Oryzias latipes: one gene and its partners. The protein of the gene in region 2 interacts with the protein of the main gene of each other region in a pairwise test. Links are inferred from orthologs where the notes say so. Each region holds a gene or a part of one and is shown on either strand. Other genes may lie near its edges.

Region 1 (4,100 bases), on a different chromosome or scaffold from region 2:
GAATCACCTTTCCAGCCACATCTACAAGAGTAGCGGAGAATATGGTCAGCTAAAACAGAAGCAGTGGCAAATCAGCAGAAAGAGCAGATGGAACCAAAAACTAATTCAATGACAGAATTTTTACTTAAAAGAAATAGTTTTGAAATGCTCCTTGGTGGTGTGATTGAAAGGAGGCAGAAGGGATGTTCAGATGGAGAGACTCCCTGAAGCAACAAGCTGAAAGGTTAAGAGGAGGAAGATTTAATATATCCTTTGACTAACTGTAGTCTGCCAGCGTCCTTTCATCCTGCAGTACTCTGCCCTGGTAGATGAGCCTCTGTTTGTCCACAGGGATGCCCACTGAAGGAGAAATGTGCTCTTTGAACTCTTTAACTGTCAGCTGCAAAACAATGGATCATTTCAGTCAGATCATAAAAGACAAAAGGAAACTACCCAAATATTTACAGCAGGAACTTTCCATTTACCTGAGCACCGACTGAGTAGGTTCTGCTCTGAGAGTCCAGAGTTTTGACCGTCACTTCTATGTCTGAGGTTTGTTCATCCATAGCGTTCCTGCAATTGTATTACATCTTCAATTACAAATTATTCTGTTTATGTGACTTTTTAAAGTGTTTGTACACTTTTACAAAAATTTTGATAAGCACCAGGTTATTTAACAATCTGTTCAACAAGCATGGTGCGTCCACGGCATGTTTATAAGTTTATGAAGAACAGTGAGCGTAGTTTCCAATTTTTCAGCAATCATCTAGATCACCTCTTCTTTTTAACAAACAGGCAACGTTGAAGTGAATTTATTAACCAGCCTTTAGTCTAGAAAATAAAATCTCTAACTAAGGAATCCGGATAACTACAATCAGCTGAATTATTTAGCTCTAATTTAAAATACATTATTAACTGAGCTATTTCCTAAACAAGAATTTTAATAAACATACAATTAACGTAAAATAGCATCTATATCTTTATGTTAGACTCAGTGGGTTAAATTTGATTTAATGCTTTGTTTTTTTCCCAAAGACGGACTCCCTGTACTAGCGTTAGCCAAAAACAGTTAGCCCGGCTGTATTCGCTAAACAAGGACAGGAGCGATGTAATATTAAACTAAGATTTAGGACAGACAGTATAACAAAAGATAGAAAGTAACATATCGCCACTTGCTCTTCAGCAGGATTACTTTTTTTAGGAACCAAATAAACGCCGACTGGCTAATTAGCCAAACAGATTAGCTAAAGATGCTAACTGATCTGTCGTGTCGCTACTAATGCTTAAGCGCAGAACATTCCGTTTTTTATGCGTCACACCGTCAAACGCTTACCTTTTAAATCATACAATGTTTTTTAACGTATCCAGAGTCCACAGGAGGCTCTTATATTCAGAAAGCCGAGCACTTCTCCGGTGCGTCGCGGCTATGCTACAGCTAACAGCTTTTAGGGCTGAACGGATGTGACGTCAGAAAGCCGCCGGACTGCTGTCGAGGTCAAAGAAGCAAAGATGGCGAATGTGCTAGAGGCGACGAGCCGACAACAGTTCGAGGATTTCCTTGCAAAAGCTGGAAAAAACCTCGCGGTTGTACATTTCCAGGCGGCATGGGCTCCTCAGTGCGGCGACATGAACGAAGTGATGGCCGAGCTGGCCAAGGCACACGCGCACGCGACGTTTGTGAAGCTGGAGGCGGAGGCTGTTCCCGATGTGTCGGAAAAGTATGACATATCCTCCGTCCCCACTTTTATCTTCTTCAAGGGGGGTGAGAAGGTGGATCGTCTGGACGGGGCGCACGCTGCGGAGCTGACTAAGAAGGTCCAGGGCCTGGCGGGTAGCGGGCCCGCCCCAGGAGGAGCCGCGGACGGCGGCGCCGCGGACTTGAACCAGCGGCTGAAGAAGCTGATCAACGCGGCGCCCTGCGTGCTGTTCATGAAGGGCTCCCCGCAGGAGCCCCGCTGCGGCTTCAGCCGCCAGATGGTGGCGCTGCTCAAGGAGCACAGCGTCCAGTTCAGCACCTTTGACATCCTGTCAGACGAAGAGGTCCGTCAGGGCCTGAAGGCGTACTCCAACTGGCCCACCTACCCCCAGCTGTACGTGAACGGAGAGCTGCTGGGGGGGCTGGACATCGTGAAGGAGCTGGCCGAGTCCGGGGAGCTGGAGACCACCTGCCCAAAGGCCGTGACCCTGGAGCACCGCCTGAAGGCCATCATCAACCAGAGCCCCGTCATGCTGTTCATGAAGGGCAACAAGGAGGCGGCGCGCTGTGGCTTCAGCAGGCAGATCCTGGAGGTCCTGAACTCCACGGGGGTGGACTTTGACACCTTTGACATCCTGTCGGACGAAGAGGTCCGTCAGGGCCTGAAGGCGTACTCCAACTGGCCCACCTATCCCCAGCTCTACGTGAAAGGGGAGCTGATCGGGGGCCTGGACATAGTGAAGGAGCTGAAGGAGAGTGGGGAGCTGGAGTCGGTACTGAGGGGGGAGTCGTAGATGGACGGGGAACAGGACATCACTGCACAGGCCTGCACCAGCTGCTGCACCCCTCAGAGGTCCCAGGAGGTCAAAGAAGCTGCTCGTCGGCTTTGATCGTGGGAAACGTTCTTCTTTTTTCACAGACTTTCAGATGACGTGAAGCTGCTGACTCTCCATCCTCATCTTTATGACAAGAACACCACCAGAGAAGCTGAAAATCTACTCATGTTCACTGCAAATTCCAGCCTATAATAAATTTCCCATCAAAATAGAACAAAACGTTTCTATTTGTTTTATTTTTTGCCTGTAAAGAGGTGAACTGGCTGTAGTAAACTGAGTTTACTTTGAAATGAGAAAAAAGTTTGAACAGAGCTCATGCACTAAAGCTCACACTCAATAAAATTGTTAAAAGCAGCAGCATGTCACGTTTGTAATACATGTGGTATAGTAAGCACGTGTGACAGGTTTTCTGGCGCCACCTTGTGGGCGTAAATGTAAAAGCACCAACAGTATCAGGGTTCTGGAACCTTTCACATTAAAAGAACCCAGCAAGAGCCATGAAGTCCAACTTCACTGTTATAAAAAAAAACACTTTATGTTTTTGTGATCATTTATTAATTCATTTATAAAATGTAGCTTTGAAATATTTACAATTGCATTCTAAAATGTATTGTTTTATACACGTAATAAAATTGAATCTATTTTACTTTAGACGGCAGCACATACAAGTTCCTTTCAAAATAAAACACCCTGTGTGAAAAAGCTCCGATTTACTTGAATTTAAAATACATGTCAATCATGACATTTTCTGTCATGACTTTGGGGTGCCTTCGTCCTTTTTCTCATTTCTCATTTTGATAACTAATAGAAACGTGACAGCATTGGTGTAGAATCCTTTTTAAAAAATCTATAAATGTACATGTACCTATGCACTTGAGTACCTTTGCCTCTAAACAGCAAAAAAAAAACGCTGCTACCTTATTCTACCAAATCTTTCTGACAGTAAATGAAATAGCTTACCATCATTTTTGATCAATCGTCTAATATATTAAAAATCCAACCTGAAATGTCAAACTTAATTAACCGTAATTAATAGTAAAGCCAAAGAATGCAGGGATAAAAGTAGCATGTAGTTCTGGAGCCTCAGGTTTCAGACCTCTGGTCTGTTCACTGAGTTTTTTTGTAAAATGATATCACCAGGAGTTAATATTGCATTTCTATTATTTCAAATCGAGTTTTAATACCTAAACTTACTTTTAGTATAAAATGCAAAAAAAGGAGATACTCATTAAGATTGTTTAAACATTTCCTAGTAATCTAAAGGAAAGATGAAGCCAGATTTAAAGGTTTTGTTAAAATTTTACAACGTTTAGAAGATGGATTATGTAAACACTAGGCTTCAAATGTTTAAAGATGGGTATATAGTAGAGTCTTGTTAAATATAGAGCTACCTTAAAGTCCCACTCCAATCTTTTTTTTTTTCAATCCATCGTAAAAGTGTTCCTGGTCTTTTAATTATGATTATGCCGAGCAATAATGGAGCTGTCCAGCCGTAGAGTTTAGATCCAGATTCTGCTCAGGGGTGGAAAATAAAGATGGATCTATTTGTCTGACAGTGGATGAATCAGAAAGGAATGGAGCAGGCAGCT
Region 2 (4,657 bases):
CGACCTGGTTTTCTCGCTGCTCGTTTTGAGCCCGAAATCTTCGGAACTCTTCCATCATAACCCAGAGTGGCGTTAGCTTAGCCGACACTTGTTCCATAAAACTTTTCAGCGTTTCTTGAATAATGTCAAGAGTCTTCTTGAGGTCGTCATATTCCTGGGGTTTCTTCGGGGGCATGGTCAGCTCTCTTTTTTGAAAATCAACCTTTTAAGTAATTTGAAGATAGTTGTATTCGCAGAGAGGCACGCCACGCGTCCTGCCGTGTAACCCGGAACCGGGGCTTACCAAACATTAAATGCGTCAATACCACTGTCCTCAAAGGGCCAGATATGACTTATACATGTAACCAAATGTAATTAAAAATAAATGTAACTACTTCTTAATGTTAATTAACTAATTATTTATTTATCATAACTTTTTAAAGAGACAATTGCAGTTGCATAGAAAACACATGATTGCTTGTTACTCTGGCATTAATGAGCGGCCTTGGTCGCCTTTCAGGCAGACTACTCTAGCAGTGTTTTACTCGGTTACTCCCCTACGGCGGTTCAGTTAATCAACTCACCTGTTCAGTGTCCTATTTAAGTCCAGGTGTGCAGTTGTTCACTCTCTTTCTTTACCGAAAGCGCTGCGTTCGTCGCCCCACCCTCCACCCCGGCTTCCACCTGTGAGCTCCGTTAGGGGTAGTTATTACACAAAGGTTTTATGGAAATCTTGTCTCATGGAATTGCACGGAGCCATATGCCAAACTAAAAGAATGTGACAATAAATATTTTTTACTGCATGAGTTGTTTGACTGAAATCCTTTAAATTTGATTTTGTCAGGTTAGGTTATATGGAAAGTGTTTAAGTCCTAATGTATAGTAGCCCAATCCGATCTTTCAAGTCAGATTCACCCTAGATATGAATAAATACACATCAGTTTTTATTTTAATTTTAAGAAATTAAAAACCTTCATGCTCTCGCGGGCCACATAAAATGACATGGCGGGCCACATTTGGCCTTGAGTTTGACAAATGTGCCATAGACTGTAAAAACAATGGACGTATCGAGGTGTGATGTCACCCATAGAAGATGCCATGTTCCACCTCTCGCAAAATGAGGCCAAATCCCTCACCATTGCTTCCTGATATGGGCGCTGCCATGTTGAAACCAGTCAACAGTGATTGGTCCTCGTCACTCTGAGTCATTGTATCTATGGCAACTACTGTCACCAAACAGGAGTGAGCTTATTGTGAGTCCCACCTCTATCCACCCCTCTACATCTTGGACACTGCTTTTCCATTAATGATAAAATTTCTCAAATTGGATTTGTAACAATAAATTCATCTAATGGAAACATGTCGATGGCGAAAACACTTGCATTTATCGTAAAAAATGTTTGTGCTTGGAGGAGGTGGTTTTTGAGGCATATCGAAATGGACATATTTCGCAAAACTGCAATGGACATACTTTTTGTAGTCTATGATCAATTCAATCCTTGTTGCAAAATGACTACAAAAAAGGCTATAAATTTTATCTTATTATCTTGCACTATCACAATTTTTCTTTTTTTTTGTAAGTTTTTGTGTCATTTTTTTAAGTATCAAACTTCAGATAAGCAGTGCTCTAACTAATACTCAGTATTGTATGAAATGCTTTTCAACCTGTTACCATTACTTTTTGGTTTTACCTGTCACATTTGCAGTAACGTCATTCTTCCTGGCCATTGGACTGTTTCACATTTTATTTTGAAAATATAAATCGGAAACTTGCTTCTGACGTCATTAACTCGACTTCGTAACTGTCGACAGGACAGCAGGTGAGTTACGTTTGTGTCCCGGTAAACAATCCTTTAAATGTCTGTGTTATGTTACTTTTGGTGCTTTAATTACAGTGTTACAACAGAAATGCAACATTAAAGTGTTTCATTCGCGCGGAAGCGTTTCCGGGTTCTAACAGTAGATAAATATATTTTTTAAATGTCTCTAGTAATTTAGTTTCTTTCTGCGTCATTGTTTTCTCTTCTTTAATAATTAGCGACTAACTAGCGCATTTTGCTGTCAGAAATCTAATCAATTTTTAGGCACTTTAATTTATTTTTATCAGCAGAATGAAATAAAATAATTTTCTGGATCGTTTCTTTGTTCGGGGTCTTGCTACAGTTTTGTTTACCTTAGTTTGTAACAAAAGCACTGAGCGTGTTAAAAAGAAAATAAAAAAAAATAGAATTGTGTTTTCTAAAACTGCTTCCTTTAAACTTGATATAATAATTCTACAATAAGATGACTTCCAGCTAAAGTTTAAATTTATCTAAGTAATTAATAGGAAATCTAAATACTTTTTTCTGTTTTCATAACTTTTGCAAATATATATAAACTGCTTTGATGAGTTCAATTAAAGCAGAGCTACTGTTTACATACTCGGGGCGTGTTAACATTATAACACAGCTTTTTATAATGTACATTTTGGCAAAATCTCAGTATAAAGTCATCAACTGTCCAGGAATTGTATTTCTAAGGCAACTTGGTAACTGGATCTAATTGCAGTTTTCTTTGACTTTGGCAGATCGGCAACCTGTTATTTCCTCTCCTAGTATTATAACTTTGTTGCTGCATAAATACCACCTTCCTTGCTTTGTATTGTTTGCCGCTTTGCAGTTTAAGTTGCTGGAATTTAATGGGCAAACATCAGTAATCGTCACTTGCAGCCCGCATGTACCATCCTGTCTGTCGATGGAGAAGTCCTCCTTCTTTCTCCAGGAAGCTGCAAATAAGCTGAAGTTTGTCTTGCATTGCATTCCTTTTTAAGTCAGCGATGGCCGACCTTGGCATGAAAGCGGGAGACAAAGTCCTGCTGGTGTGGGCACAGCCGTCAACGCCTGCCGCCTTGAAACCGTACGCAGAGGAACTGGGAGCTGCTGTTGGTGCAGATGGAAAAGTTTCTGTGGAAAACATGGAGAGACTGGTGCTTTGTGAGTTATTCTAAAAAAAAAGAATGGATTTTTTTTCATGAACAGAATCATTTGTGCTTGAGAAAATCATGGAGAGCATCAGAGTTTAACATGAATGGTTTGTTTTATCAGACTAACATTTGTTGTACTTGAGGAAACGCCTCTGACAGAAATCCTCTCGCCTTCTCAGCTGCTCACCCTGTGTCCACCTATGACTGGGTGCTCTCCTGCCTTCTGACTGACAGCTCTTCCACCCATAGTCCAGAAGCTCTAGCAGAGATGATCAGAGTTCTAAAACCCGGTGGGAGTTTGGTCCTGGAAGAGCCAGTTACGGGTAAGAGACCCACTTTTAGGGGTTTAAAAGAAGACCAGATGGGTGAAGAGTTCAGTGTTTTCCCTGCAGCTGCTGCAGAATCTCCTCCCGTTCTCCACATGAGTTTGGTGATTATGATCAAAGATGGAAGTCTGCATTTATGCCAGAGGCTGCTTTCAGTTTTGGTTGTTTTTACACTTTAATCAAAGTTAAACTGACATGAAACTTTTTACATTTTAGGACGAGGTATTATTATTTTAAAGCTGCACATCTGAGCAAATTGTGTCCTGATTCAGTTCATATCTCTTGTTAGATTCAGACACTCAAACCAGTGGAGATCAGAAAAAAGGCGTTAAAAGCCAGGATTGTGTTTTTTCCTTTTCCGTTTGTGTTGCAGCCACAGAAGCACAGAGCGTGAGAACGGCAGAGAAGCTGGTGTCGGCGCTGAAACTGTCTGGCTTCATGTCAATAACAGAGGTGATGGCATTCACACATTTTGGACTCACAGCGTTCGTCTGCGAGGGTGTGATGACTTTTTCAAACTTCAGTTGGTTCACTGCAACTCAGTTAAACGTGTTTTTTTCATTCAACTCAAAGGAAAATTATTTGTTATGGTTTCAAACAATTGTTTAGGTCTAAAAGTTTTTTAAAGAACATGATCTTCATCACAGATATAACAAAGTTTTAGCTGTAAGTAATCATTGAAAAATATTCTCATAGTTCTTAACATTAAGTAATTCATAGTGAAGAATTTTTATTATTCAAAACATTTTGACGCTGATGAAATGTTAAAATATATCTAAAGTTAAGTTAGTTTGAATCTAGATCCTACTTTTTTGTGTACTTTAATATTTCACATTTTCCTCGTCTTTCTTTCCTTTCAGGTCAGTAAATCGGAGCTCACTCCCGCCGCACTGAGCTCTCTCAGGGAGACCACTGGTTACCAAGGAGACGCCCTGTCTCGAGTGCGGATCAAGGCCTGTAAACCCAACTATGAGGTGGGGTCGTCCAGCCAGATCAAACTGTCCTTCGGGAAGAAGACGGCAAACTCGGGTCTGTTTCTAAAAGCTATGCTCTTCATCTTCTCTGAAATTTAGATCTAATAACATCAACATCAAAAGGGAAATTATGTTTATTATTTTCAGTTTCATGACTAGTTCTTTTTTTCAATAACAAAAAATAATTTGAATGTCTCTGATTTAGAGAACAATTCGAAGGAAAAACCAAATGTTTTTGTTTGTTTTGTCTTCAGCAGAGAAACCTGCGCTGGACCCAAACACGGTGAAAATGTGGACGCTGTCAGCCAACGACATGAACGACGACGACGTGGTGAGTTCCAGCTGTAGGTCGGAGGTCAACTTCTGTCAGAGTACGGCTCTCTGATCCTCACCACATCACCGACCGCGACGTTGGA
Region 3 (4,782 bases), on a different chromosome or scaffold from region 2:
TCTTCACTGGTGTCCATGGATTACATGAAATCTTTCCACCTTTATCCACCTTTGTCATGGTAGGGAGAACACGTCAATGGAAGGGGGGGGGGGGGGGTCATCTAAGATAACACAAGGGTCAAAAATGTTTTAGTGCAAACGTTTCCAGAAACGGAGAACTCTTCAATAGTCGGTCGATCCACTTTTGGATCAACTTCCTGTGTAAAGGCATCTGACGCCTTCTGTAGCTGATCAAGTCTGCAAAGACAGATTAGAAAACAGAGAAAGCTGTTGAAACAATGAGGATATTCCTGTGTGAACAAATGTTCCTAAATACCAAAGTAGAACATTAGATAGCAGGAAGAAGGATTTGCATTTCAAATGACAGAAAGATAAAAAAATATTCCATTTTCTTGGACACTTTTACCTTCTCTTTGTTTCAAATATGTATAATTAAGTATTTTATTATTCTCTCAACAGTTTAGAAAAACTCTTTTGCTTTTTCATGAAGGACATCGATTTGCCTCCATGTTTGTAAATGTCAAATAAAGCGGTGAGTTTTGACCATTCAAGGGTCATTAAATACAGTTAGGATCTGATGAATCCTCTCTAACTCATCATGTGTTATTATTATTCTATTAGTCGAAAACATGGATCATAAAATCATGACGATGTTCTGATGGTCCCAGACAAGGGAACTCTACGATGTGGTGAAGCCACCAAGACCTGAACCACTAAACACAGCAGCACAGCTTTTAGTGCAGTGTATTATGGGATGTAGGATAAGATATGAGCTGACCAACAGCTGATCAGCCGCTGACCAACAGCTGATCAACAGCTGACCAACAGCTGATCAACAGCTGATCAACCGCTGATCAACCGCTGACCAACAGCTGATCAGCCGCTGACCAACAGCTGATCAACCGCTGACCAACAGCTGATCAACAGCTGATCAACCGCTGATCAACCGCTGACCAACAGCTGATCAGCCGCTGACCAACAGCTGATCAACCGCTGACCAACAGCTGATCAACCGCTGATCAACAGCTGATCAGCCGCTGACCAACAGCTGATCAACAGCTGATCAGCCGCTGATCAACAGCTGATCAACAGCTGATCAGCCGCTGACCAACAGCTGATCAACAGCTGATCAGCCGCTGACCAACAGCTGATCAACCGCTGACCAACAGCTGACGCCATCAACACATTCACACTGCTGTCAAACTCTGACACTAACCTATAACCACAGGTTTAAACCATTTATCAGTCCAACTTCAACCGGCTTACCTCCGTACCACAGCCACCTGCACTAAATGCGACACTGCAACAGTTTAATGCATCTGGGATTGATTTGATTTGCTTTCATGAGATTGTTTTTACCATTTCCTCTGGGTCTTCTCAGGCACCTTGTTAGAACGGCCTTGGCGTTGGAGGAGAACCTCAGAGGGTCAAAGATGGCTCCCAGGTTCCTGTGCTCCTTCACCTCCATGGCGGATGGCGGGGGCCGTCTGTGTCTGGGGGAGAAGGTCACCACCATCACTTTTGTTGACGTTGAGCTCAGGGTGGGCGTTGAGGTCCGGAAAAGCTGAGCTGTGATTGGCTGGAAGACAGACAGGAGGACAGAGGACCCCTCCTAGAAAGCCCCCCATCTGTCTGACTGCAGCATGGACAGATTCACCGTCTGTGGTCTGAAGCGGATCCTGGTGGACCTCCACTTCAGTAGGTGGCGGTAGTGAGCAGAACTGGAAACCAGACTCCCGCCAATTAACGCCAAGAAGAAAGGCCGGAAGCTGGATGTGGACTCGGGATCCGAAGCGGTAGAAGGTCAGTAGTTTGGTGTCCAACCTGGTGTTCGGGGCAGTTTCAGTCAGAGATACGTAAATAACCACGTGACGTTCCTGTTTGTGTCTGTAACGCAGCCGCGAGATGAAGGAGTCCTGTCTGTGTGTGGTGCTGATCTATGTGAACTACATCTGCAGTGTTCTGCTGCACGGGAATGTGTTTGATAGGAAGAATTAGACACTAGAACTGCCTCTAGTCTGTCTGCAATGCATTATGGGATGTAAGATGGTGTAATCATCCTGGTTACTGAACTCCAGGTTTGTTACAGATCTGTTCTGCCTTCAGACCCACGTGGGTCCAGTTCCTCTTCAGTGATGAAGCAGAACCCGACCAATACTCTGGCAGAAACCAGCAGAAGTTCTGGTTCCGTCTTCTTCACAGACTGACGTTTAGTGAACCTGACCGGTTCTGTGGGATTCTAGTGAGACGGTGAAAGACGGAACCACGTCCAAGTTCGGTCCACAAAGTGGATTTTTTCAGAACTCATCGTGGATCGGATCCACGTTCGTAGAAGGAAAGAATTTTTCTGAGTTTTCTTCAATTCAACTCAAGAAATGTCCGTTTATTTGAACAAAAGTCTGTTTAGTTCTGAAAAAGCCTTTCAGTTTATGAGGGATTCAAACTGTGGCAGCAGCCGCGGCTCAGAGGTGGAGCGGTCGACCACTGATCACAAGATCGAGGTTGAGTTCTGCCCTGTCCGTGTGTCTTTGGGCAAGACGCTGAACCCCATGGCGTATGGGGGCGTGTCTGTCCGTGTCCGTCCGTGTGGGCGTGTCCGTGTGGGCGTGTCCGGCGCTTTGGGCCCTAAAGCTCAGCGTTAAACTGAACAAACATTTATGAGTAAATAATAAAATCTGAACATTTTTACGGAGTCGCTCTAAGAGGAAATCCGCTCATGGCTGGAAATGTTGGATCAGTTGTTTTCAGTTCATCTGAGGAGGACTTTTGGGTCCGTGCACGTGGGTCCGTGCACGTGCAGGACCCACGGACAGAGGAGTTCTGTCAGGTTCTGGTCTGTTCTTTACGTTTCCCTCTAGGCACCATGTCCATCCCGTCCCTGCTGGTTCTGTACGGGAGCCAGACCGGCACGGCCCAGGATGCGGCCCAGAGGATCGGCCGGCAGGCGCAGAGGAGGCGGCTGCCGGTCCGGGTGATGGCTCTGGACAGCTACGCCGTGGTGAGTTTGCTGCGGTTGCTGGAACCGTCAGTCCAGTTGGGCCTCACGGTTCCAGCAGGACTTTTTCAGAGGATTGTGATGTGTGGGATTGGGGTTCTGAAGGTTCTGTTGGTGAGGATGACTAAGTTGAATTTGGGAGGCTGTCTGGATTTATGTGGAGAGAAACAGACTGGTTTTGGACTGGATGCTCAGCAGATCCGGTCCATCCCTGCTGCTCTGCTTCCCTCCGTTAGCCTGGATTCCTCTGCAGTTTCTGTTCCTCCAACAGGCCGACCTGATTGCAGAGTCTCTGGTGGTGTTTGTCTGCTCCACCGCCGGACAGGGAGAGCCTCCGGACAACATGAAGGTAAGAGGGCGGAGTCTCCTGCTGTCAGTCACAGAACAAAGCCAGCTTTCAGAGAGGAAATGGATCCACAAATGAGAGACTGAAGGAAGAGTTTGGCCTTTCCTTCCTGGAAAACCAGCTGCTCCCCCAGGTCCACGCCCCCCCAGAACCCCCCAGATCCTCAGTGGATGTGGTTTTCTGCCATCCTGAGGCGGTTCTGAAGCCGTTTCTGTTTCAGTCCACGACTTTGATGAGGATCATCGGCACCACTTTGGTATCTGACCCCAATTTCAGACCCCCCAGAACCCCCAGACCCCCTGGGAGTGAACCTGTGAGGCTGGTTTGAAGGGAAAGTGTAGAAATATCAAATATTCATTTCACTTCAGTCTCTCTTTTGTGAACTGATCTAGAACACAGATTCTGTGGTTCTGAGGCGACCTTTGAACCCCTGATGGTTTCTCTGCTTGGATCTCTCTTCCCAGAACTTCTGGAGGTTTCTCTTCAGGAAGTCTTTACCCGGGGGCTCTCTGAGCCGGCTGGACTGTGCCGTGCTGGGTCTGGGGGATTCCTCCTATCCCAAGTGGGTCCCATCGCTGAAGGCGTTCGACCCGTTTCTGTGGAAGAGGCGGAGCGTTGACGGCGTTTCCGTCTGTGTTGCAGGTTCAACTTTGTGGCAAAGAAGCTTCATAAGCGTCTTCTGCAGCTCGGCGCCAACATGCTGATGCCTGTTGGGCTTGGCGATGATCAGCACGACGTGGGGTAAGCGTCTGGACGGGAAAAGGGGCGGAGCTCACGGAGGCTTTGGTTCTGCTGGTCTGGGTTCTGAAAACACAGACAGCAGGAACTTGACACAAACCATCATCCTTTGTTGGTTTCATTCTGGCTCAGTGCTGTTCATCATTAGGGGCGTGTCTTTCTAGTTAGGGGCGTGTCTTTCTAATTATGGGGGGGGCCCACTCATATCTTGGCACATTTGAGGGCGGGGTCTTGCACCAGGCTCCTCGCTCAGACCCAATCCTCCGTCCATGTTCTGTGGTTGACCCTGGGGGCGGGGCTGTGTGTGTTGTTTGAATCAGGCCGGACGCCGTCGTGGACCCCTGGCTCGCGTCCTTTTGGGGGTCGGTTCTGGCCCTTTACCCGTCCTTGACCAGTGTGACCCCGTTAAGAGAGGATGAGCGGTAAGATCCACGGATGAAAACGTCTGGGTCTGTGGCCGCCTAATGCTGTCCTCTGTGCAGACTTCCTCCCACGTTCACATTCCACTTCCTGGTGGGCGAGAGAGAGAGCGGCGATGAGAGACTAAGGGTCTCTGAGGGGGAGGCGGGTCCCTTTCGTGCCCGGATGGTTTTCAACAGGAGAGTGACGGAGCCGAGCCACTTCCAGGACGTGAGGCACATTGAGTTTGACGTCACCGGTTCCAGCATGAGGTCAGCGGTGTTCTGGGTTGCCATGGGAACGT

The links.
Region 1: the proteins of ciapin1 (region 2) and glrx3 interact in binary tests that used the Homo sapiens proteins (3 or more experiments, as listed by UniProt). The link is inferred for Oryzias latipes from reciprocal best matches to the Homo sapiens genes CIAPIN1 and GLRX3.
Region 3: the proteins of ciapin1 (region 2) and ndor1 interact in binary tests that used the Homo sapiens proteins (3 or more experiments, as listed by UniProt). The two-hybrid records come from large-scale screens. The link is inferred for Oryzias latipes from reciprocal best matches to the Homo sapiens genes CIAPIN1 and NDOR1.

The regions. Positions count from the first base shown.
Region 1 is NC_019874.2:28,118,667-28,122,766, reverse strand, and holds glrx3 (glutaredoxin-3), read left to right. Parts: upstream 1-1,397; 5' UTR 1,398-1,488; coding exon 1,489-2,469; 3' UTR 2,470-3,162; downstream 3,163-4,100. Other genes in the region: large proline-rich protein BAG6, read right to left, coding at 1-21, 262-379, 465-545. UniProt on the Homo sapiens protein: Together with BOLA2, acts as a cytosolic iron-sulfur (Fe-S) cluster assembly factor that facilitates [2Fe-2S] cluster insertion into a subset of cytosolic proteins.
Region 2 is NC_019864.2:27,442,231-27,446,887, reverse strand, and holds the start of ciapin1 (anamorsin), read left to right. Parts: upstream 1-1,734; 5' UTR 1,735-1,799; intron 1,800-2,788; 5' UTR 2,789-2,794; coding exon 2,795-2,951; intron 2,952-3,120; coding exon 3,121-3,264; intron 3,265-3,640; coding exon 3,641-3,720; intron 3,721-4,127; coding exon 4,128-4,296; intron 4,297-4,495; coding exon 4,496-4,572; intron 4,573-4,657. UniProt on the Homo sapiens protein: Component of the cytosolic iron-sulfur (Fe-S) protein assembly (CIA) machinery required for the maturation of extramitochondrial Fe-S proteins.
Region 3 is NC_019870.2:30,176,162-30,180,943, reverse strand, and holds the start of ndor1 (NADPH-dependent diflavin oxidoreductase 1), read left to right. Parts: upstream 1-1,809; 5' UTR 1,810-2,716; coding exon 2,717-2,998; intron 2,999-3,266; coding exon 3,267-3,344; intron 3,345-3,805; coding exon 3,806-3,903; intron 3,904-3,983; coding exon 3,984-4,082; intron 4,083-4,399; coding exon 4,400-4,501; intron 4,502-4,561; coding exon 4,562-4,750; intron 4,751-4,782. UniProt on the Homo sapiens protein: NADPH-dependent reductase which is a central component of the cytosolic iron-sulfur (Fe-S) protein assembly (CIA) machinery.